Xenopus tropicalis: one gene and its partners. The protein of the gene in region 4 purifies or fractionates together with the protein of the main gene of each other region. This does not show direct contact. Links are inferred from orthologs where the notes say so. Each region holds a gene or a part of one and is shown on either strand. Other genes may lie near its edges.

Region 1 (3,500 bases), on a different chromosome or scaffold from region 4:
AGTGCTTGTGAACAGCCTAGAAAAGCAGCCAGTGGAAATCGAACTGACAGTACAGCCTTTGGGTTATCCAAATTCAGAGTATCATACTTAGGTTGGCCAGTAGTTATTTATTTTTCTAAATGCCCTCAAATGTGTTTCTGATCAGGTGCAGATAATCTAGCAACTTCAGCGAAAGACACACATTCAATTTGATGAAAGAAATCTATTTCAGTTTCCCCACAGACCTTAATGACCAAGTGATAAAAGTTTCCCATCAAGATGAAGCAGTATGTGATGGTTTAATGCAGCTTGAAGAGACCTGTTCCCTCCTACCTCTGCTAATCTATTTAATGCCATTCACAAGGCAATGAATCTGCATTTTGCTGCCATCCAGTTACAGAGTAGAGAGCTTTAATTCCCATTGTTTAGACAAAGTTGACACACTGCTGTTTAAGCACTGCTATGGCTTTCTGACTATACAATGCTGCTGCTAACCAAACCCTTTTCTTCTCTTTTCTAATACCAGATGCTGTGAACTACATTTACTCTGAGATCCCTGACCTCACAACTTTTAATTTACAAAATACAGAAACATCCCTTTCTGGTGACGGAACGACAAGGGTAGCTGGTAAGTATATTACACTGTTACATTTAAGAGTAAGCTTGCATTTTTAAGTTGTAATACAATTTTGATCATTTTGTAAATTAACAGATTAGTGCAATATCATATCCTAGTTTGCACTTAAAGTAAACCAAGCCTGTTTCCTGGATTTTATTTTAGAAATGTTGTTTTAACAGATTTAAGTTAGAAAAATTGCTTTTGTTTTTGCAGCTGGCAAAGTATTCTACGTTATTGAACTCTCTCTAAACCACTTCCACTTTAAAAGTGATTGAAATCCCATAACTCACTTGGGCACCCAAAGCAAAAACATGTTGTAGTATATGTTATACAACAACACCTTTTCTTTATTAATTGCTTATGTTAAACTAATGAATACATAATGTATATATAAAAAAGGCTAACATTCTATACCCTATTTGTTTTGTAAAGTTTATGGTTAGTCAAGGTGGATATCTGTATCAGGTGGGTACCTACAAATAACTACCTGTCCAAGGACCTTTTGTCTGCAGTGGTATACTATCATGTCTATCTCCTCCTTCAGCATTGATTGTAATTATAATTAATTTTATCAAATTAACCTTAAAAAATCAATCATCTGTCATCAGCCTTTAAGCCCTTGATCTTACAGACTAGAAGCATACTGCATAATATGGGTTTTTGTGTATTTCCACAAGCTTTTTATCACATTAAATCAGGGCATGTCATTGTAAAATTAAAGCATGCAGTTAAGAATATTATAGTTTATTAGATCTTTGCCTTTCTACAGCTAGAGAATCCTTCAGTGTAGGTCCAAGGTTCAGTCCAAGGTCCCTTGTGATCTAATTCACTTCCTCTTTTATATTGTTGGCAAATGTTTTTATTGGAATACTTAGCAAAGCTGCCATTTTAACATTTCCTGAATGAGCAGGGGATTTTTCTTTGTATCTTATGTGAGTGGGATCCTGAAACAGTTCATAATTTTGAATCATTGTCAGATGAGAGGAACAATGGCAGTTAAATGGCCTTATAAACTTAAGGTAATACTGTCATGGGAAAACATGTTTTTTCAAAATGCATCAGTTAATAGAGATTCTCCAGCAGAATCCTGCATTGAAAACCTTTTTATAAAAGTTCAAACATATTTTTTAATATTTAATTTTGAAATTTCACATGGAGCTAGCCATGATTGATCTTAATTTCCAGTGAGTGCCACAGCCAGTAGATATCTGAATGGTACTCAACAATAAGAAATCCAAGTCCGGATTGGGACTGCTTCAGTTTACATGGATTAGAATAACCAATAGCTTATCTAAAAGCAGTTCTAATGTGTTGCACTGGTTCCTTGTGAAAGCTCAGAATCAGACACAATGCACTGAGATGGCTGCCTACACATCAATATTACAACTGAAAAAATACATTTGTCAGTTCAAGAATAACATTTTAAATGGCAGACTCTATTTAATTCTGATATGGCACATCACTAGTTATATCTGATGCTTTCCAAGTACATCTCTATAGCTACACTCCAGCAAAACAGCATTCCTATTCATATTCTTTAAATTGGGGTTCAATTACAACAATTATCAGGTACTGCTGCAGCATATAGGAATTGGAGCTATATGTGTGCCTCATGTAGTGGGATTTGCTGTCACTTTCCATAATGTAGAGCAGGAAGAGAGGTACTCAGTCACCTTATGGTCATAAGAGCCCTGATTATTATAATAAACACTAGCTTTGTTAAGATTATAAGAAAAATAAAAAATATATTTAAATTTTTTGAATCAGCAAATGTACAAGCAAGTTACTAAAAGAGAAGAATCATTGTATTTCAGAATTGCTTTACCTATATGTTGCAAATACAATTATTATTATTATTAACAACAACATTCATCAGGCAAAGACCTCTAATCATAAATATGTCATTAATGTCATGTAATAAACAGTTTTAGCTTCTGCAAACTTGTATGTGTATGTATGTATGTCTAACTTTATTAATAAAGCACCACAAGGATACGCAGCGCTGTGCAATATACACAATTAGACACAGGGAGGACAAGTGTTATAATAAATAAGTATAAATACACAATCTAAGCGGTCTAGTAACATACAGGCACAAACTGGAAGGTAAGAGTGCACAAGGTATGGGCATTTGCCCTTAAGTGCAGGACTAGACAAAATAATGTTTTAGTGCTACAGAAGGTAGCATATGAGTTTTTTCTTAAAGACAGGGAGTGAGTGTTCCCTACGGAGGAATTCAGGGATAGAGTTCCAGAGATAACGAGCAGCAAGATAGAAAGGTTTAATACAAGAGAGCGCAGTGGGTGTGGATGGTGTAAAAAGGCGGAGGCTCTGAGAGGAGCGGAGGAGAATACCAGGAACGTGTAGGGAGAACCTGTTTTTTAGACCCCGATAATACATTGTGTGCGATGAAATCCAAATTTGTTTTTACAAAATACAGACATTTTGTATTAAAGGTATTTTATTGAGTTACAAAACACAGCTGCTAAGAGTATGCAGCAGTAAAATATTATATATAATATGCTTTGGATTAATGAAATACAGTTTATTCAGGGGTTGACATTTCTCAAAAGGTATGGCTTTTACCATTCTCTATAAGCTACAAAAGTCATATACATTCTCTAGCTTCTTTAGAAAAAATATGAGATCATAAAAATCTATTGGAGGGCCACATCTGGCCTGAGGCCTCCAGCTCTGAATTACATTGTTACTACACATTTCAACCTCAATATTTGGCAAACTGGGCCTTATCAGTTTGAAAAACAAATCCCTTCATATTACACTATGTGGCACTAACAGCATTTAAATTTACACAGTACATTTCAAATGTGTCACTTGTTAATCAGATAATGATGATTAGAAGCATTCAATTGACTCTTCATATGCACATTTGTAAACAATG
Region 2 (2,182 bases), on a different chromosome or scaffold from region 4:
TCCCAGAATTCTCTGAATGTACTCCTACCCTACTACAGGTCCGGTGCAACAGAGATCAGCAAAGTTTCAAAGCCATGTAATGGACGTCTTCCAAGAACCTCCTCGAAAGAAACCTCAGCTGAAATCCATAAAGTGCCCGGATCACTGGGCTTGCCACAGATTGATCCAAGCTACTCAGTAACAATGCAGCCTTGTGCAGAAGGAGGCTGTCAGTCATTAAAGGTTACACCCTGGGTGCTGGTTGGAAGAATAGAAGAAATAATCTAGAACACAAAAGGCCCATAGTCCCTATGTACTGTTTACTGATACATTGCATTAATGTTTTTGTTCTGGCAGGATTGCTAATATGCCGAATTTATGTCAAAACTATTTCATATGAATGGATGCATGCATTTGTTTGCAAACGTTTTGGACTGACTAGCTTCCTATGCAGTAAAAATGGTGGGGTGGCCCAAGTGTTTTAGCAGTGATTGTTTCTTCACTGCTTGTTATCCCTGCAACAATGAAAGTGACCATTATGACCATGTATCCATATCATGGGGTCTTCCCAACCAAACAGGGGAACCCCCTACCAAATGCGGTCTTCCCAAATTTCATCCAAAAAATGGGAAGCCGAACAAAAAAATCTGAGGACCTCGGGGTCAAGGTGTTCTCCATCAGCCAGCAGCCAGGTAGTAACCTTTACTAAGGCTCTGATTTTACTGATTTTGCTGTGATTGAGTAGATTTTATATAACAAGATGCAATATTAGAAAGCCAATGCTCTGTTTTCACGACTTTAGCACTACGACTGCCATTGTTTGAACCAAATACCAAAATAATAACAGAATATGATGGAGGTTACAGATAACAGAATTGGGAGTTAATTATCAGCTGAAAATAGAAGTGAACACAATGGGACTATACATGGATATAACTACCACAAAATGATCATTTTAGAATGATCCTCCATCTACCCGTGTAACAGATCATTTTCAGAGCAGATGTCTTCCAGGACAATCCTCACGAGAAAATCCAAATATTTTGTAGCAATATGATGGGACTCAAAAATCTATTTTATTCAAGAGACATCCGGATAAATTCTTAATTACAGCAGTCGTATTTGTGCGTATATGGACACTCAAAGTAACACCAACAATGACCAGCTTAAGACTATAACAGGTTGAGCAACCTGCATCAGTAAATGTGATACTTATAAACCTCCAGTGTCAGTGGGTGAGAGGAACTGGTTTCCATGTGTACATGTGTGTCCAGAAGAAGCTCAAACAATTCCCTGCAACAGAATGCTCCTATGGACTTGAGTTGATGATTACAGCGTAGCAGGAGTGGTTGTACAGTACACAAATATTTTTTAGCATTGTTCAGAATGTTCTACAGAACTTTTACAAATCACTGAAACTATGCAAACATGGACTTGCAGAGAGTTAAGGAGGGTTAGTTGTATTTCTTCTAGAAATCCAACTAACCAGTAGCAGATTTGATTATAACACTGGATATATGGGACTGGCACCACCAACCAGCACAGAGCAGGTTTAGTAAGCCTAATGAAATGGATTCCTGCAAATGTTATCTCTACATCAGAGCCTCTTAAGGCTTGTGAATATGAAGAGTTGCACAATACAGAAAGAAGTTCCATCATGCAGAGTCAACATGGGATTTAGCAGTGTTTTTCCTATCCAATTTAGGATGTCTGGGTTGGTTTTTCATTGTTATCTCTGCAGAAAATATAGAAGTTATTCTCTTGCTTATTAATATATTCTACAGGGAACAGTGAGTCTGCCTGACACCCATAAAGAACCCAACAAAGTTTACTTATGGTACTAGGGAGTCATTAGTAGTCATTATTTGGCTAAAGGCCAGCAGTATTCATAAGGAATACAGCAGCTAGCTCTTGGCTTACCAATGCAGTTTTTAAGGTACTGACCTACAAAAGCTCAAGATATTTTTCAGTTAACCCTGCAATTCAAGACAAGTTTAGCTGCTTCCGTATTTCTAAAACAATGATAGCAAACCTACAGCTCTTCAGGTTTAGTGTAATAGCACCTACCGGCCTCTTTGGCTGCTTAACAAATGGCTAAAGAGAATGGGAGATGGGTTAATGCCCCGTGTGGAAAGCCACAGGGTGACAATCGACGACTGAAAACATCTACAAAATGTTCAAGTAAAATGACCTGTGATGTAAT
Region 3 (3,965 bases), on a different chromosome or scaffold from region 4:
GCGAGGCCACAACGGCCCGGGCCTAGGGCAGCACAAATTTAGGGGTATGCCCAGCCCAGCCACAATGAAATTTTGCTCCCATATGGAGCAATGGGGGTTTGATGCACGGAAACATTAGCGCTTCCTCCCCCCCACTGCTCTGTATGTGAGTTGTGGTGCACATGCATGCACACAAGGCATGGGGGGAGGAGGAAGTGGGCGGGCGCCGAAAGGGTGCGGCCTCGGGGCGCCCTAACTTCAAATCCGGCCCTGGCTCAGTGTGTCATTGCCCCAAAGGGTGTATTGTATTCCATCTGCAAAAAGGAAAGATGAATCTATACTGTACCTGTATAGTATACCCCAAGCCTCCAACAGTGGAATTCCAAGTTGTGGCAATGCAGTCAAGTTCAAGGCCAATAGGTAAAGCCATTTAAACTGTAAGTTAGCCAAATCTCCACAGAAGAACTTAGAGTGATAAAGATCTACAAAGAAGGCATTTAACAGTTGTTGTGTAACAATTGTCATAATGTACAAGAAAAAAGGCAGAGTTTCAGTCTCAGCAGGATTGTAATAGGCACTAATAGTAATAATGAAAAACTCTCTGCATCTGATAAAACCAGCCCCCTACTAGCAATCTGCTGATCATCATTTAAAGCAATAACAGTTTTCCAGAATAGTAAGGTGACAGCAGCCCATTAAAACATGATTAAAAATAATACATACAATAGATCAACACCATTTAGAGTTCCTTAATTTTCTTTGCAGCCGTTTATTTAATAACGGAACTATGAAAATATCTATTATAATAATTTCAATCCCCATTACTTTACCGCACATTTATCAAAGCGCATAATTGTAGCTCACTACAGAGGAACCCAACCACTTTATGTTCTTTTAGAAGCGTATTTATCAAAGGGTAAATGTTAGAGTTCACCATTTGATAAATACGCTACACCTAGATAAAACTACCCTATATTGAAGTACATAAAGCCAGCACTATGTGAAACTACCTCAGCTTAATGGTCACAGACACACACACACACACACTCACACACACACACTGAGACCACACCCAAGTACAGAGTCAGGGACAGCACTTGACAGAGAGAAAAGAGCCGACTCAACAGCACTGGGCGGGGTTATGGTAATTGCGGGCGTGTCCTGTTTCTACTCGGACTTCTCTGGAGCTACATGTGATCAAAGCGATCTGAGCATCCCTGGTGCTGCAGCCGGAGAGTGACTGATCCGGTGAGTAGAGCGATACAGTCGCTGACTGACGCTGGTACAGAGCATTTCATAAACAGCCTGTAAGGATCATCTGCACTTCCTAACACTCCTTTTGTACCATACGATCCAGTTGCTCTGTTGCAGCCATACATATACTCTCGTACTAACCTTGAACCGCCTCTTGTACCTAATATCCGAAGCCGGTATCCTTAACCATATCCTACTTTATCTAACCTCTACCTTCCGACCACTTATTCTATCCGCTCTACTACTGCCAAGCAGTTCTTCTTACGGCTGCCTGAATCTTTTTGTGTAACTCATCTGCTCAACCTTTTAACCAGCTAAGGTAGTTTATATCTAGTTATCTAGTCAATTTTAATCAACTTTGTCATTTCAGCCCTTTTAACATAATTACCTCACCTTCCAATCACCCCTGCCCTCCAGCCAAATAACCATATTATCGATACAAGCAGTCTTCCAACTGCCCCTTTATTTTATATATACTCCCATCCAGATCCCTGCCCTGCATACATGCCAATGACACCTGCAGTGTTTTTCATTCATTTATCTGTAACTTTGCATTTCAACAGGTCCATCTGTTTTACACTTACATAAGTCTTTCCATTTGACTCATGTATATCATATATTTTGCATCATTGATGCTAGCTACACCTAGAAACCAAGCAGTTCTGTACAAATACTCCTCTTCCCCGCCCTATATGTTTGATCATTTTTGGTTGTGGCACTGATCTAATCACATTCCTGTTACTGAATACACTCCCCTATCCAGCCTAAACTTTACATGTTTCAGATCTTTGTTCCTTTATGATATTTTATAATTGTTTAAAATAATTATCTTTTTATAAATATGTATTTCACACTAGAATAAGTTGACCGCATGAGCTTGTAGATTGCTATATACCAATAGATTGATATATACCAATAGGTACTTGGTTGCCTTCACCTATATCTGGCTGAGCACTGCAGTCTGCATTGCAGTGTGGGATTTAGCAGCATTCGCATTACAATAGTGACTTTATAATCTGCATTTAGCACTTGTATATAGCACCACTATAGCTCTTGTACCTGGACTCTTTTCATTTACTTCCCTTTAGTGCAATGTATCTGTATATCCACCCCAACCCAGGGTGCATCATGCCTGCAGTGCAGCAGTGCTACACACTGACAGACCAGAGAAATGATTGCTTATACCAGTTTGTAAGGCCAGGAACAGTAGCTGTCATGATGGCAAATGGAAACTTTACAATATATGCAGTCTGCAGTAGAATACCTGTATGTCATTATGAGTTATGGCAACAGATCAAAAAGCTTGGAGGGTGCAGCCTATACAGTATAGAATATGAAAGAATGAATTGAGGAGTTTTATGTGGCCGATGAAATGCAGTGGGAGGATGCAGCTAGCCTCCCTTTGTTTAATGCATATGCTGATAGGACATTTATATGAAGTAATGCATGGTCTGTGCCCCAGCTCAATTCATAGCAACCCTGGCAGCAAAATTATGTGCTCAGCATTTGATTTAAAATGCTGGATGAGATGGTTTAATATAATACTGGTACTATGGAAAAATGCCAGGGATATACAGAAGATAAAATGCTCCCTGGCACTCGCTTCTTGGAGATTTATAGCCATTAGTGTAGAAAGCTAGGGGTTATTTTTAAAACAAATCTCTTTTCATTAGGCTTGTGCATGTAAAAGCCAGTGACCCATACAACATCCATGTCTGATTTTCCAAAACAGTGATGATAAAATGGAGCGGTGTGTAACTGTGCAATATCCTTTCTTTAGTTAAAAGGAGCATGTGTAGTTAAAAGGTTTAGCATGCATTTTGGTGGCGGAAAAGGTTTTTTCTAAACACAAATATTGTTATTGACATTTACAGTACTACAGTTATCCATTCATTCTGAACTATCAGTTCAATCTTCCTGTGGTTAGGTAATTAATATTAGAAAATACTATCTGCCATGTATGTCTGATTGAAATTTACAGTTGCTTATTCATTTCACCACCAAAATGGGCTATATGAACTGATGGCTGCTGTGATTGTACTAACAGAATATTCTAGACTGGAGTTCTTGCTACAAAACAATCAAAGCAAAGGATGTGTTTATACAAAATACATGATCTGTAATGTCTAATACAGCTCCCATCCAGTCTCTGAAGTGGCCCATCCCACTGTTTTTTTATGCTACTTGAAAGTGTGGGGGTGTCTGAATGACGTTCCAGTTATTCAGTGTTGCATGTATGACGCTTTGACAAATGATTTGTTTTGTGCCTTTACAAATATGCATGAACTGCCTTTAGACTAAGGCTTTCTGATGTACTCATAGGTGCTTCCCTTTTGTGGCTGGGTGTTACGGATGAATATTGTATGTAGTAAAGAATAGAAATTACAGATTATGTTTGTATGAGCTGCTGCAAGTAGTTATTCTTTACCAGAGCGGAAACAAATCATTTCATGTGTAATGCGCCTTTAGCTTATCCCTGGCTCTGTTGCAAAGCAGAAACCAAAATGTTTATCCAGTGCTAAGTCCAGAAATATTTTCACCTTTCTAAATAACCATTTCTAAGCAATGTTTCATTTAGTTTTCACCATTTATTTGGGCTGGTTTTTGAACTAATAGCATTCCTATTCTAACTATTTTAAGTATGTAAGTGAAAATGCTATCTAATTGTTGTGGTCAAAATAAAAACATTGTTGTAATTTCAGGACCTCCCTATAGGTCTTCCATTTTATCTT
Region 4 (3,500 bases):
GCACCCCCATATATAAATAAGGCATGGCCAACATCTTCCATTTTGTGCCAGCAGCTATCCGTATGACATCCCATATGTATACTCTGAGAATATCTAACAAGTTGTATATAATATGTTGTCACTTTATTTACTCCATCTCCTTCCCTTTTGATACAACTCCCTCTCTGCACTATCCTAAAACTGGCCCCGCGATACCCAGCATCCTTAGGAACAGCTAGCTGGGGATGCTGGGAGAAGTTTAGAAATACAATAAGGCTGCTGGTCTGTATTGTGCAGTGACAGCGTAATGCACTCTAGGACTTATTCTCTCCCCCCACCCATGTCTCTTCTGCCCTGGATGTGCTATTGCCTCACCTTTCCTAATGTCTTTTCTTCTCCTCCCTCCAGGATAACAGCAATCTGTATATGGTCATGGAGTATGTCGCCGGTGGGGAGATGTTCTCTCATTTGCGCAGAATCGGGCGCTTCAGGTAAGCATAGGCCAAGACTGCTAATGCCCTTACCAGTATGCGCCCATTGGGCCCTGAATGCTTGAGAGTGGTCACAAGGTGATAGCCACTATCAGGGTTAGGATAGTTATCAATAACTTCAGAATAATGGCTCCTTATGTACAGAACTGCAGCCTGCTCTCTGCAAACACCAATGCTCCTTATTAATATTCAAGTATTTGGGCTTTATGGTATGTTTCTCTGTCCCAAACACCTTCTGGTTACAGACTGGTCTCTCATAGATGTGTTTATAGCCAAGAAACCTTAAACTTGTACCCCTGAAAGGAAAACTATACCCCCAGAATGAATACTTAACCAACAAATTGTTTATATCATGTTAAGTAGCCTATTAAAAAATCGTCAAACTGGAATACATATATATCGGTAAAAATTGCCTTTTTACACCCTTTCCCTTGAGCCGCCATTTAGTGATGGGCTGTGTGCTCCCTTAGAGATCAGCTGACAGGAAATAATGCAGCTCTAACTGTAACAGGAAGTAGTGTGGGAGCAAAAGGCAGAACTCTGTCCATTCATTGGCTGATGGGGCCTAGCATGTATGTGTGCCTTGGCTTGTTTGTGTGCACTGTGAATCCTATGATCCCAGGGGGGGCCCTTAGTACTTTAAATGGCAGTTTCCTATTTAGGATTACCCAGTGGCTAATACTCCTTAAAAAGTATATTTTTATGAAAATGGTTTATTTAGATGAAGCAGGTTTTTACATATGAGCTGTTTATACAATATATTTTTATAGAGACCTTCATTGTTTGGGGGTATAGTTTTCCTTTAGTGCCCATTACCTTTATACGGACTGTCCCTGCCATATATGTTCCCTCTGATGTGCTCACAAACACTTTATGGGCCAAACTTGGGGCAGACCGGCTGTTTATCTCATAACCTGATATATTATAAATCCCTGGGACTAAAGCAGGGTGACAGTCTCTAGCCATGTTGTAATTCAGGAAGTAAGCAATTCACCCCTAAATCTCACCCTGTTTGCCCTTCAGAGTGTTTCCCTTGGGGGGTGCAGGGGTAGAACCTGTCTCATTGTTCGTGAATCACAACCCTCAGTCCAATTGACCTACCTTTTAAGTTTTTGAGAGGAAACTGAGAGTGAACATATAAACAGATTATGCAGTAGATCATACAGTCCGCTGTGCCAACACTAAGGTACCAAGTGTCAGCACAGAAGAGTCTATGGTTCAGGGGGTGGCCTTACTGCCAGCGCTAAATGAGAGAAACCCAGGATCCCAGTGGTGCCATAGAGCCGTACAAACTCCTTTGCCACTGTCCCGTCACGTCCCCCTATAGGTTTACATCATGATGTTCAGATACGGCTTCTATTCCTCTCCAACTAATGTTCTACCTTCTCTCTGTGCCGGTTCTAACACCCGGATGTTACCGGAGATGGACTTTGCCTCATTTCCTCTGACAGCTGCTGTGGGCAAGCCCATGGTGATTTCCAAGTTCTGTCTCCTTTATCAGCACCATGCTGCTTATCTGTGTATTTGCATGGGCAATTATACGGGCTGACGGTATAACCATACACCCAATTGGAGAAGTACACCGCCTTCCTCATCTATGGGTCCTCTCAGTAAATATTGTCCTTTGTACACATGGCACTGACCTATCATTCAGCCCTTTTATTGAGATTGTGCATCACATCTGTCCCTCTTTGAATGGAGCTTACAGCCTACTTGCCCTAGCACATACTCACACTCAAACACACACTCATGATTGGAGTTCCAACCTATACAATGGCTTACAGAGCTTGTGTGCCCCTGAGAGATTGGTGGCTGCCCCAGGGTTCCCCTTGCCTTATCACACACATTCCACTGCTAGGTGCAGCCGGCTGCAAGGATGGAGCTGGAAATGAAGTGAGCGGTGTGTATACAGCAGACGTTTAGGGTTAGGACCTCCTTATAGGCATAGGTTTTGTTGGGGGAGGAATAGACAGAGCAACACTGAACTCTGAGGCAACCTGCTCTGCACTGACTGGTCCATCCCCCCCCCCCCTCCCCAATCTGGTAACCAAGCTGCCCCCTTTCCACTTGGGGTGAGTATTCTGAGATTTGTAGATCTTTCTTTAGCTGATGTCTGCAGTTCTAACTGCTTGCAAATAAAAGTAATGGCCAGGCCAGCACTGTTTATTAGAATACAGAAATCTGTGCATCTCTATACAGCGAGCATTGGGGTATTGGTACATATCATTACGCCTAACGTTTTGTTTCTCCTGTCCCCACAGTGAACCTCATGCACGCTTCTATGCATCCCAGATTGTATTAACTTTTGAATATCTGCACGCCCTGGATCTTATATACAGAGACTTGAAACCCGAGAATCTCCTCATAGACCAGCAGGGATACATCCAGGTAATACACCCCTTGTGCCAGCAGATGGCAGCTTTCTTACAGGTCCCCAGTGTGTATACAATAAACCTATAACTGTATATGTTTGGTACTTTTGCCATTATGAGGGCCCAGGGCATGTACCCACTGCTCTTGCTAAACCCATTTATAATAACCTTCAGTAATGAACTGGGGGCATGGTACGACTTGGGAAGCCAGATATGGAATCACACTTATATGCTGTTTTCCAGGTGACGGATTTTGGCTTTGCAAAGAGAGTGAAAGGGAGGACCTGGACCCTGTGTGGGACACCAGAGTACCTGGCGCCAGAAATAATCCTTAGCAAGGTGAGTATGACCCTCCCTGTAGGGTATTTTCTTGGCTTTATGCTCGGAGCTCCCCCCTACATTCCTTTATGTAGCTCAAACTGAGTCTGATAGTGGAGATCCAGCTGTTATGGCAGCGTGCCCTGGGCAGTGGGGCAGTAGGGCTGAGACTGATTTACTCGGCAGGTTAGAAGGCCTGAGAGGATTTTCTTGGTTTTCTCCCACAATGCCCGCTACATCTGACACTGGCATCTTTTGCTTCCATGCCAGCTCCTTATACTCCTGGTCACAGAAATGTATGGGAAAAAATGAATGACATCCCAGGCCCTGGCGTATTTAG
Region 5 (2,893 bases), on a different chromosome or scaffold from region 4:
TAGACACACATAGCATGTGTAGCTTAGAGTACATATATCTATTTTCCAAAGCTGAAGAGATTTAATAAGCACATGTAGAAACCATTCTAAAATGCAGTAACTGACTATTGTAATTATTTGTTTTCAGACACATGAGTCAACCAAATTGTATTCATGTCTTCCTGGAACAAAAGGCAGTTCTTCCATGGATGACACTGAAACACGGAAGTTAATGGAGGAATGTAAGCGACTGCAATCTGAAATGATCAAACTATCAGATGAAAACCAAGTTCTAAAAGTAAGATCTCTTTGTGTTGGTTATACAAGTGTTTAAAGTGATACTGACACCAAAAATGTTGTTGTCTTTTAAACCTTTCATTGCATTATTGTTGTATTATCTCTTTAATTTCAACCTAGAACCACGTAACTATCACTTTTACATTGCCATTCTGATCTCATGTGTTTCTCTCTGAGGGGGCTGCCATGTTTGGGCAGCAGCTGTTTGTTGTTGTTTGAAAACACTGCCCTTGATTTTAGTTTGAAAATCCTAGCCAATTCGAAATCAGTGCTGCACATAAAAACTATTTCTAATTAAATATTTGAATGCTGAAGTACAACTGTGGACAGTGAAGTGTTCAGGCATTCCCTTCTAAGCATATTTGTTCTGATACCCTTTGAACATGCAGGTGGTATCTTAAGTTAGGTGATTATAAACTGGCCTGTCTCCGTCATGTATGGACAACAGAGCTCTATAGCAGGCATGCGCAGCAATGATTTTGATCTGTACCGGAGTGCGTTCCTTCATAATAATCACAGCAGTAGTAAGTATAGTTCTGGCCGCGAAGATTTATTGAGAAGACACTTAAGCTGGCCATACACGTGGCGATCTGACGATCGCACGAAACATCGTCAGATCCGCCACACACCATTCAGGGCTGAAACAATAGGATTTCTACCTCCTTCTGCCGATTCAGCGCTGAAGGGAGATTTTGGTCAGGCGCCCGATCAAAATTTTCAAACTGGTCCTTTCGGCGAGTCGGCAGATATCAGCAGCTTCCCGACGACTCGCCGGCATACCATACACGCACCGAATATCGTACGAAACGAGGTTTTGTACGATATTATCGGTGAGTGTATGGCCACCTTTACATGCAGTGCTCAGTGAAAGTTATTTGATGTCTGTGGTGTGGGGGACACACAGACTGCAAGGAATTAATTAATTAAGGGGAGGAAAAAAATAGATCCGCCCAGCTTCAGCTGACGTCAGTGAAGTGAAACACTAATTGACAGGTTGAGAAGTGCCAGTCGGGTTTCAGACATTCAGGTAACTATATTAAATAAAGCAGACATCTGGGCAAAAAAAAACCTAATCAATATAATTCATAGCTAACTTTTGATGTACATTATTTTGAGGACTACATTTTTTATGTCAGAATCCCTTTAATACATGTGCATTTACATGGGATTATTACCTTCTAAATTGTATGCATTCATAGCTCTTTAAGGCCAATTTTCAGAACTTTCAGCAGTTAGGAGGAATAGAACAAATCCTCAAGATTTGCTATTAACTTGCCACTGCAGTGCATTAATGTCCTTGACCCCAAAAACAATTTCAGCCCAGTCTTCTCTGTTTGTCCTGGTTTTCTATATTGCAACCTCTCCTATGTAATGTATCCATTTTATCCTGGATCTTCCCCTTTGTCATGATTCTCTATTAGTTTCTCACTATATATGACTATACATACAAGTCAAAATTTTGGCATCAATCTCATTGGCCTATCCACTTGCCTACTGCTTTTTAATTTTAAAGGCTATGTCAGGCATATTATCTGAATCTTCAGTTCCCCATTCTCCAACACTTATACAGGACCAAGAATTATGATTATCTTTTTCTCTTTATGAATATTCATAGGAGTTTTATTCCTTTGTGCTATAAGGGTTTACATTTAAACTTGCATCTTTTATAGTTTCTTAATTGATCTCATTTTTTAATTTTTTTTTCTAGGAGGAAACTTTACGAATGAGGAAGGCATCAGATAAATCAGGCAAAATGTTACGAGATCAAGGCATCCCTATTCCATCTCTTGTTGTTGTCATTGCAGCAATTTTCATAGGATTCTTTCTAGGAAAGTTCATCTTGTAAAGCATGTGATGCGCAATTTTTTCCCTCCTGGCCAGAAAGGCTATCTACCAGTACTTTCGGTAGAATTGTTCTACAGGCTGTTTTGTGTACAGAATCACATAGGCACCACCTTAACAATCTCACAGTTGGGGAAGCAGAATTAAAAAAAAAAAAACAAAACAAAAAAAAAACCTGTGGTTATGGGACTATTGTTCGTTCATCAGCAGCAAGTGTCTGTCATATGTTCAATTCTTTATGGTGGGGAGGTGGAAGTAATCTAAAAAAAAAAAAATAATTTTTCTGTGGTTTTAATATGTTCAAACAAAGTTTAAATTGTCTTGTAAATTGTTATTTTAATCCTTTTAAATTTATCTGTTATCTTTTGCAATATGATTTCTGTAGATTGCTAATCTCATTCAGGTAAATGCCGGAGATATCTTGGGATGCTGTCTCTTCAGTGTAAATTCTGTCCTTTAATTTCAATATATTGCGGTTCATATTCTTCTTGTGAAGCAACTGTGTGGTTTTTTTTTTTTTTTTTTGGTTTTTTTTTTTTTTAATTTCTTTGGCATATCCCATTATATTTAACATTAAAAAATAAAATCTGTATATACTATATCATTATGAAGGATAACCTTTTTCTATCTGTCATAGTTGGGTTCTCATGAAGTTTGGTGTTTGTGCTGACTTTGATAATTGTACAGTCTGATTTTCTGTGTATTTATGAATGGCTCTGCCTTCAGTGCAATGAAAGCTTGTAAAGATCCTATTGGTATTAAAGGGTCAGTATAC
Region 6 (3,500 bases), on a different chromosome or scaffold from region 4:
ACTGCTGCAGATTAAAGGTGCTTTGCTCTGTTGTACAGGTATAGGGCCTGTTATCTAGAATGCTCAGGACTTGGGGTTTTCCAGATAAGGATCTTTACATAATTTGTATCTCCATACCTTATGAAGTCTGTGGGAGACAGCCTTCCTATAATTTGGATAAAAGATCCCATACCTGTATAATTAGCTTTTTTTAAAGACTAGTTCTTTTTATTGAACATCAGTCTGTCCAGTGTCAAGTCAGAGGCAGCTGGAAAATACCATCAAGCTTACCACGTTTTGTACAGTAACAGCTGGCAGTGTGCTTGATACAGTAGTACAGTGCTGTCCAACTGGCGGCCCGCGGGCCGCATGCGGCCCGCGACCCCCCTCTGTGTGGCCCCCCACCTGTCTGGCTGCTTTGATGGCTTACCTTTGAGTAAGCATTAAATGGTAACAGTACTGAGATTAACTGGCCCCCTGCATGGTTTTCACCTCAGATTCAGGCTGTAATCCCCCTGTATTGTTTAAAAATGTAATCCCCTGTGTTTTTCACACCTTTTAATACCTGCATGGTTCACCCCCTGCAGTGTTCACACCTCAGGCTCAGGCTGTAATCACTCCCATTGTTCACTTCTTCACACCTCAGACATAGGTACTGTAGGCAGAGTATGGCACATACAGCCAGCATAGGGCAGGTAGAGTATGGCACACACAGGCAGCATAGGTCAGGGAGGGTATGGCACACATAGGAAGGGTAGGGCAGGCAGAGTATGGCACACACAGTCAGGGTAGGGCAGACAGAGTATGGTACACAGAGGCAGCATAGAGAAGGCAGAGTATGGCACACATAGGCAGGGTAGGACAGGCAGAGTATGGCACACACAGACAGCGTAGGACAGGCAGAGTGCTGCCTGTGTGTGCCATACTCTGCTTGCTCTATGCTGCTTGTGGGAGGTGAACCTGGCAGGGGTTTGTTGTGGGAGTTTGTTAGCAGTTGGAAATAGCCATTAAATGGTCCCTAAGGTGTGTAATTATGTACTGGGGGTTGCTCTGCTATCCACAGGGGAGGAGGAGGCATATGGAATTTAAGGGTATATCTTAATATGACATAATTCTTTCACATATGAATGATGGTTGATATCCCCACAGTAAGGACCAAGCATTTGGGATTTTGCTGTGTTACCACCATTGTGATAAAATAGGTGTGGTTTGAAGTGGGTGTGGTTTCAAAAAGGGGAGTGGTCAAAACTGGCTTCCATTAGCGGCCCTCCACCATGTATGCTAGAGAAATTCCGGCCCTCGGCACCGTAGAAGTTGGACAGCACTGCAGTAGTACATTGGGTCCTGTGCCTATAATCATGTTCCCAGTGAAAATATCTGAATCATCTGTACCTATAGAAGAAGCTGGGAAAATACAAATTAATTTGTCAAGAAATATAAGAAAGGTCACTTTGACACACCCACCTCTGTTTTTATGTATTTATCCGATAGCACCTGTTGATCCAGTGCTCCTTTGTTTCCCTTATTGTGCATTTTTATAATGTTTGCAATAGGCCTTCTTTTTTTGTGGTTTTTCAGTTATTTAGCTTTTTGTTCAGCAGCTCTTCAGTTTGGTATTTCGGCAGCTATCTGGTTGCTAATGTCTTAATTACCCAAGAAACCAGCCAGTAATTTGAATGAGAGATGGAATATGAATAGTTAAAGGACTGAGTACAAAGATAAGCAGTAAAAGTAACAATAACGATAGAATTTTAGCCTCAGAGAACAATAGTTTTAAGTCTGCTGCTGTCAGTGACCCCCCTCTGAAAGCTAAAAAAAGGCAGAAAAGGAAGGTAAATAATTAAAAAAATAAAACTATAAAAATAAATGATGACCAATTGCAAAGTTGCTAGGAATAGGACATTCTATAATATACTAAGTGAATCGCCCCATTAAATATTAAAGTATTCCTTTGGATCTGTGTACATTGTGCCATAACTCACACGTTTAATTATACAAATAGATGCATCCACCAATGTACGAATGTACAATTTAAGAGGTATTTTTGGTTGATTTTTTTTTTTAAATTTTTTTAAAAAAAGCTTGAAAAACTGGAAACTAACCTAAAGGAAAAGACAGACAAATGCAATGAACTGCTGCTCTGCAAAGAACAGTTCCAGCGGGATATTCAAGAAAGGAATGAAGAGATTGAGAAGCTGGAGTGTCGGATCAGGGAACTGGAGCAGGCCTTGCTCATCAGTGATGATACCCTTAAGAAGGTGAGTTAATTTACTTGTGACCTTCTCCCTACCTTAATATGTGATAATGGCTAGATAGGTGCATACACACGCAAAATGAAAAAGGATCCTCCACACCCAATTATCTTGTTGTATCTTGTGTCTGTGGTGCTTGGATCCAATATTTGTTAAGTAAGCATTAGCTTTACAAATGGAGGCGCAAAACTTGCCATAAACTAACTGATATTATCGTATGAAACCTTGTTTAGTACGATATTCGGTGTGTGTGTATAGTGGATCGATGAGCCGACCTGTATTGCAAAGGCTGCAAATATCGGTCGTCTCGACGATCGGCTGAGTTAAAAAGGCGGCCGAGCAAAGTCTGCGTTTAGGGCTGAATCGGCAGGTGAAGGTAGAATCCCTACTTCTACCTCCATGTCTGACAATTTAGCCCTGAACTTTAACATGTACATGTATGGCCACCTTTAGGCACAGCACCAGTGAAGATTCATGTAACGGGTGTGTGTGTTTTTAGGAATAGAATAGGATTACCCCACCCCCTAAATGTTGTTACTCACTCTCTGTAGATAAATAAATAAATTCAGAAATGGACTGGCAATCTGTTGATTCTGGCAAATACCAGAATAGGTTACACAAACTATCTGTAATGCTTTTTGATGTGATTTTTGTGTGCTGATTTAGGGATGGACGAGGGATGAAAAGTTAAATACTAAATAAACAAGTCTAAGTAATATGTACATTTTCTTGAAGGTGGAGCTCAGAAGACAGTCCATCGTCATTAGTTCCAAAGGAGAAATACCTCTAGAAGCACAACTCCAAGTGGAGCGTGACGCAATAGATCGAAAAGAAAAAGAGGTGCGAATTCCCTTAATTAAAAAAGACATTGAGACCTTTTTATTAATAGTTTATCTTAATTGTCTACAATTTTTTTCCTACATGCAATTTGCATTAGGGAGCAAGGATTTGGAAAGTGAAAGTAGCGATGGTTGCTACCAACCAATAGAACAGGATGATAAATTAGCCACACAGGTTGACTGACTTTTCTATATGGCAGTACCTTCAAATTAAGTCTTTTCAAAAATGCTTTATGACCTATTGCTACAATAGATACTGAATCGAAACATTTGGAAATATTGATTGATCCTATGATTGCTAGAATGCAAATGTTGAGAAGGGCTTTTTTCACCTTTTGAGAGGTGTCAAAATTTCTCTGCTGCAGAAAAATGTACACAGGGTGCAGTGAAACAGTGCCAGATATTACAAACTTATTATGTGAGTGGTAGG
Region 7 (4,183 bases), on a different chromosome or scaffold from region 4:
CCTACAATTGTCCGGCCTCCCTTGGTGGTTTCCTCACCGTTACAAAGTACCGAATACCCCCCCCACCCCACCCCGAGCCCCCAGTGTCACTAACGCACAGAGTGGGCGCAGGGTCCCCTACCCACACACACTGTGCCAACACTGCCCAATCAGCAGTCAGAAGGAATGCAGCCAATGGGAGGGGGGCACAGACAGGACTTTATGTATCACTGCCCCCAGTATATGCGCCCCATTACACCCTATATATACCCCCTGTATATTGGATACAGCATCGGGGCTGTGCACCCTGCACCCTACTGGCACTACGGGGGCATAAATGGATCAGGACTGGGGAGCACAGCAGGGCCCCAGGGAACCCCCATATAATTAGGGGGCACTACTCCTCTTTGTTATCAGGGAGCTCTCTGCCCTTTACCCACATACCAAACTGACAGTTATAATAGGGACCCCCTACCTTCAGCCCTGTATCCCAGCAACCCCTTGCACTCATGGTTACAAGACCTCCCTCAGGCAGGTTCTGAAATGGGATGTACCCCAGCGCCCCCCACTGGCCCTGCACCCCAGCGTCCCCCACTGGCCCTGCCCCCCAGCGCCCCCCACTGGCCCTGCCCCCCAGCGTCCCCCACTGGCCCTGCACCCCAGCGTCCCCCACTGGCCCTGTAATCCAGCGTCCCCCACTGGCCCTGCACCCCAGCGCCCCCCACTGGCCCTGCACCCCAGCGCCCCCCACTGGCCCTGCACCCCCCACTGGCCCTGCCCCCCAGCGGCCCCCACTGGCCCTGCCCCCCAGCGGCCCCCACTGGCCCTGCCCCCCAGCGGCCCCCACTGGCCCTGCCCCCCAGCGGCCCCCACTGGCCCTGCCCCCCAGCGGCCCCCACTGGCCCTGCCCCCCAGCGGCCCCCACTGGCCCTGCCCTCCAGCGGCCCCCACTGGCCCTGCCCCCCAGCGGCCCCCACTGGCCCTGCACCCCAGCGGCCCCCACTGGCCCTGCACCCCAGCGGCCCCCACTGGCCCTGCACCCCAGCATCCCCCATTCCAGGATTACAACTCATGCAGCCCAGCAGTACCCCCAAGCCGTACATTCCAGGATTATATCCCATGTAGCCCAGTAGTACCCCCAACCCATACATTCCAGGATTATAACCCATGTAGCCTAGCAGTACCCCCAACCCATACATTCCAGGATTATAACCCATGTAGCCCAGCAGTACCCCCAACCCATACATTCCAGGATTATAACCCATGTAGCCCAGTAGTACCCCCAACCCCTACATTCCAGGATTATAACCCATGTAGCCCAGTAGTACCCCCAACCCATACATTCCAGGATTATAACCCATGTAGCCTAGCAGTACCCCCAACCCATACATTCCAGGATTATAACCCATGTAGCCCAGTAGTACCCCCAACCCCTACATTCCAGGATTATAACCCATGTAGCCCAGTAGTACCCCCAACCCATACATTCCAGGATTATAACCCATGTAGCCTAGCAGTACCCCCAACCCATACATTCCAGGATTATAACCCATGCAGCCCAGCAGTACCCCCAACCCCTACATTCCAGGATTATAACCCATGTAGCCCAGTAGTACCCCCAACCCATACATTCCAGGATTATAACCCATGTAGCCTAGCAGTACCCCCAACCCATACATTCCAGGATTATAACCCATGTAGCCCAGTAGTACCCCCAACCCCTACATTCCAGGATTATAACCCATGTAGCCCAGTAGTACCCCCAACCCATACATTCCAGGATTATAACCCATGTAGCCCAGCAGTACCCCCAACCCATACATTACAGGATTATAACCCATGTAGCCCAGCAGTACCCCCAACCCCTACATTACAGGATTGTAGCCCAGCAGTACCCCCAACCCATACATTACAGGATTATAACCCATGTAGCCCAGCAGTACCCCCAACCCCTACATTACAGGATTGTAGCCCAGCAGTACCCCCAACCCATACATTACAGGATTATAACCCATGTAGCCCAGCAGTACCCCCAACCCATACATTACAGGATTATAACCCATGTAGCCCAGTAGTACCCCCAACCCCTACATTACAGGATTGTATCCCAGCAGTACCCCCAACCCCTACATTACAGGATTGTAGCCCAGCAGTACCCCCAACCCATACATTACAGGATTATAACCCATGTAGCCCAGCAGTACCCCCAACCCCTACATTAGAGGATTGTATCCCAGCAGTACCCCCAAGCCGTACATTAGAGGATTGTATCCCAGCAGTACCCCCAAGCCGTACATTAGAGGATTGTAGCCCAGCAGTACCCCCAACCCCTACATTACAGGATTGTAGCCCAGCAGTACCCCCAACCCATACATTACAGGATTATAACCCATGTAGCCCAGTAGTACCCCCAACCCCTACATTACAGGATTGTATCCCAGCAGTACCCCCAACCCCTACATTACAGGATTGTAGCCCAGCAGTACCCCCAACCCATACATTACAGGATTATAACCCATGTAGCCCAGCAGTACCCCCAAGCCGTACATTAGAGGATTGTATCCCAGCAGTACCCCCAAGCCGTACATTAGAGGATTGTATCCCAGCAGTACCCCCAAGCCGTACATTGCAGGATTAATGTGAGTGCCCCAGAGCCCCCGGTACCTCGGAACTTGAGCTCATGCTGGGGCTCCAGCTGAAGGATCTGCTCCACCTTGGCCATGTCTCCCGTGTGGGCTGGGGGTCCGGGCCTGTCCCGGCGGCGGTGGCGGCTGCAGGAGCGGGTGATGCAGCAAAGCGGCGGAGGGCGGAGGCTGCTGTGACGTCACGGCCCCTGCAAGGCCCGGGGGTGAGCGGCGCGCAGGCGCAAGGGCTGGGGGCGGGGCCGCGGCTGCGCACTGGGGCTCAAGGGCCAACATGGCGGCGCCTGGGGGGGAGGGGCAAGTTAGCGCTGGCAGCGTATGTGCGGGACCCCGTATCCGCCCTGTGTAATGTCACATAGATATCCGGGAATATAAACCCGCGGGATCTCCCCTTATTGGTACCGGGTTGTCCCGCCCCTCCTGCCGGTACCGCTCTCTCCCGCCGCCGGTACCGCTCTCTCCCGCCGCCGGTACCGCTCTCTCCCGCCGCCCGTACCGCTCTCTCCCGCCGCCGGTACCGCTCTCTCTCCCACCGGTACCGCTCTCTCTCACCGCCGGTACCGCTCTCTCTCCCACCGGTACCGCTCTCTCCCGCCGCCCGTACCGCTCTCTCCCGCCGCCGGTACCGCTCTCTCCCACCGCCGGTACCGCTCTCTCCCGCCGCCGGTACCGCTCTCTCTCCCACCGGTACCGCTCTCTCTCACCGCCGGTACCGCTCTCTCTCCCACCGGTACCGCTCTCTCCCGCCGCCCGTACCGCTCTCTCCCGCCGCCGGTACCGCTCTCTCCCACCGCCGGTACCGCTCTCTCCCGCCGCCGGTACCGCTCTCTCCCGCCGCCGGTACCGCTCTCTCCCGCCGCCGGTACCGCTCTCTCCCACCGCCGGTACCGCTCTCTCCCACCGCCGGTACCGCTCTCTCTCACCGCCGGTACCGCTCTCTCCCACCGCCGGTACCGCTCTCTCCCACCTCCGGTACCGCTCTCTCTCACCGCCCGTACCGCTCTCTCCCACCGCCGGTACCGCTCTCTCCCGCCGCCGGTACCGCTCTCTCTCACCGCCCGTACCGCTCTCTCCCACCGCCGGTACCGCTCTCTCCCACCGCCGGTACCGCTCTCTCTCACCGCCGGTACCGCTCTCTCCCACCGCCGGTACCGCTCTCTCCCACCGCCGGTACCGCTCTCTCTCACCGCCCGTACCGCTCTCTCTCACCGCCCGTACCGCTCTCTCTCACCGCCCGTACCGCTCTCTCTCACCGCCCGTACCGCTCTCTCTCACCGCCCGTACCGCTCTCTCTCACCGCCCGTACCGCTCTCTCTCACCGCCCGTACCGCTCTCTCTCACCACCCGTACCGCTCTCTCACCGCCGCCCGTACCGCTCTCTCACCGCCGCCCGTACCGCTCTCTCTCACGCTCTCTCCCGCCGCCGGTACCGCTCTCTCTCCCACCGCCCGTACCGCTCTCTCCCGCCGCCGGTACCGCTCTCTCCCGCCGCCGGGTACCGCTCTCTCCCACCGCCGGTACCGCTCTCTCCCACCGCCGGGTACCGCTCTCTCTCACCGCCC

Evidence for each region.
Region 1: the proteins of prkaca (region 4) and palm2 purify together in Homo sapiens (affinity purification with mass spectrometry; 5 studies listed by BioGRID and IntAct, with this or other methods). This does not show direct contact. The link is inferred for Xenopus tropicalis from reciprocal best matches to the Homo sapiens genes PRKACA and PALM2AKAP2.
Region 2: the proteins of prkaca (region 4) and pde4dip purify together in Homo sapiens (affinity purification with mass spectrometry; 5 studies listed by BioGRID and IntAct, with this or other methods). This does not show direct contact. The link is inferred for Xenopus tropicalis from reciprocal best matches to the Homo sapiens genes PRKACA and PDE4DIP.
Region 3: the proteins of prkaca (region 4) and map2 purify together in Homo sapiens (affinity purification with mass spectrometry; 3 studies listed by BioGRID and IntAct, with this or other methods). This does not show direct contact. The link is inferred for Xenopus tropicalis from reciprocal best matches to the Homo sapiens genes PRKACA and MAP2.
Region 5: the proteins of prkaca (region 4) and vapa purify together in Homo sapiens (affinity purification with mass spectrometry; 4 studies listed by BioGRID and IntAct, with this or other methods). This does not show direct contact. The link is inferred for Xenopus tropicalis from reciprocal best matches to the Homo sapiens genes PRKACA and VAPA.
Region 6: the proteins of prkaca (region 4) and akap9 purify together in Homo sapiens (affinity purification with mass spectrometry; 7 studies listed by BioGRID and IntAct, with this or other methods). This does not show direct contact. The link is inferred for Xenopus tropicalis from reciprocal best matches to the Homo sapiens genes PRKACA and AKAP9.
Region 7: the proteins of prkaca (region 4) and vapb purify together in Homo sapiens (affinity purification with mass spectrometry; 4 studies listed by BioGRID and IntAct, with this or other methods). This does not show direct contact. The link is inferred for Xenopus tropicalis from reciprocal best matches to the Homo sapiens genes PRKACA and VAPB.

Annotation. Positions count from the first base shown.
Region 1 is NC_030677.2:108,637,168-108,640,667, reverse strand, and holds part of palm2 (paralemmin-2 isoform 1 (palm2)), read left to right. Parts: intron 1-505; coding exon 506-607; intron 608-3,500. UniProt on the Homo sapiens protein: Binds to regulatory subunit (RII) of protein kinase A. May be involved in establishing polarity in signaling systems or in integrating PKA-RII isoforms with downstream effectors to capture, amplify and focus diffuse, trans-cellular signals carried by cAMP.
Region 2 is NC_030680.2:118,199,742-118,201,923, forward strand, and holds part of pde4dip (myomegalin), read left to right. Parts: intron 1-38; coding exon 39-181; 3' UTR 182-2,182. UniProt on the Homo sapiens protein: Functions as an anchor sequestering components of the cAMP-dependent pathway to Golgi and/or centrosomes.
Region 3 is NC_030685.2:55,867,946-55,871,910, forward strand, and holds the start of map2 (microtubule-associated protein 2), read left to right. Parts: upstream 1-1,165; 5' UTR 1,166-1,227; intron 1,228-3,965. UniProt on the Homo sapiens protein: The exact function of MAP2 is unknown but MAPs may stabilize the microtubules against depolymerization. They also seem to have a stiffening effect on microtubules.
Region 4 is NC_030679.2:134,183,959-134,187,458, reverse strand, and holds part of prkaca (cAMP-dependent protein kinase catalytic subunit alpha), read left to right. Parts: intron 1-387; coding exon 388-470; intron 471-2,731; coding exon 2,732-2,858; intron 2,859-3,085; coding exon 3,086-3,181; intron 3,182-3,500.
Region 5 is NC_030682.2:104,692,147-104,695,039, forward strand, and holds the end of vapa (vesicle-associated membrane protein-associated protein A), read left to right. Parts: intron 1-127; coding exon 128-277; intron 278-1,984; coding exon 1,985-2,122; 3' UTR 2,123-2,393; downstream 2,394-2,893. UniProt on the Homo sapiens protein: Endoplasmic reticulum (ER)-anchored protein that mediates the formation of contact sites between the ER and endosomes via interaction with FFAT motif-containing proteins such as STARD3 or WDR44.
Region 6 is NC_030682.2:31,557,614-31,561,113, forward strand, and holds part of akap9 (A-kinase anchor protein 9), read left to right. Parts: intron 1-2,060; coding exon 2,061-2,237; intron 2,238-2,966; coding exon 2,967-3,071; intron 3,072-3,500. UniProt on the Homo sapiens protein: Scaffolding protein that assembles several protein kinases and phosphatases on the centrosome and Golgi apparatus. Required to maintain the integrity of the Golgi apparatus. Required for microtubule nucleation at the cis-side of the Golgi apparatus.
Region 7 is NC_030686.2:2,710,335-2,714,517, reverse strand, and holds the start of vapb (vesicle-associated membrane protein-associated protein B/C), read right to left. Parts: upstream 2,801-4,183; 5' UTR 2,702-2,800; coding exon 2,644-2,701; intron 1-2,643. UniProt on the Homo sapiens protein: Endoplasmic reticulum (ER)-anchored protein that mediates the formation of contact sites between the ER and endosomes via interaction with FFAT motif-containing proteins such as STARD3 or WDR44.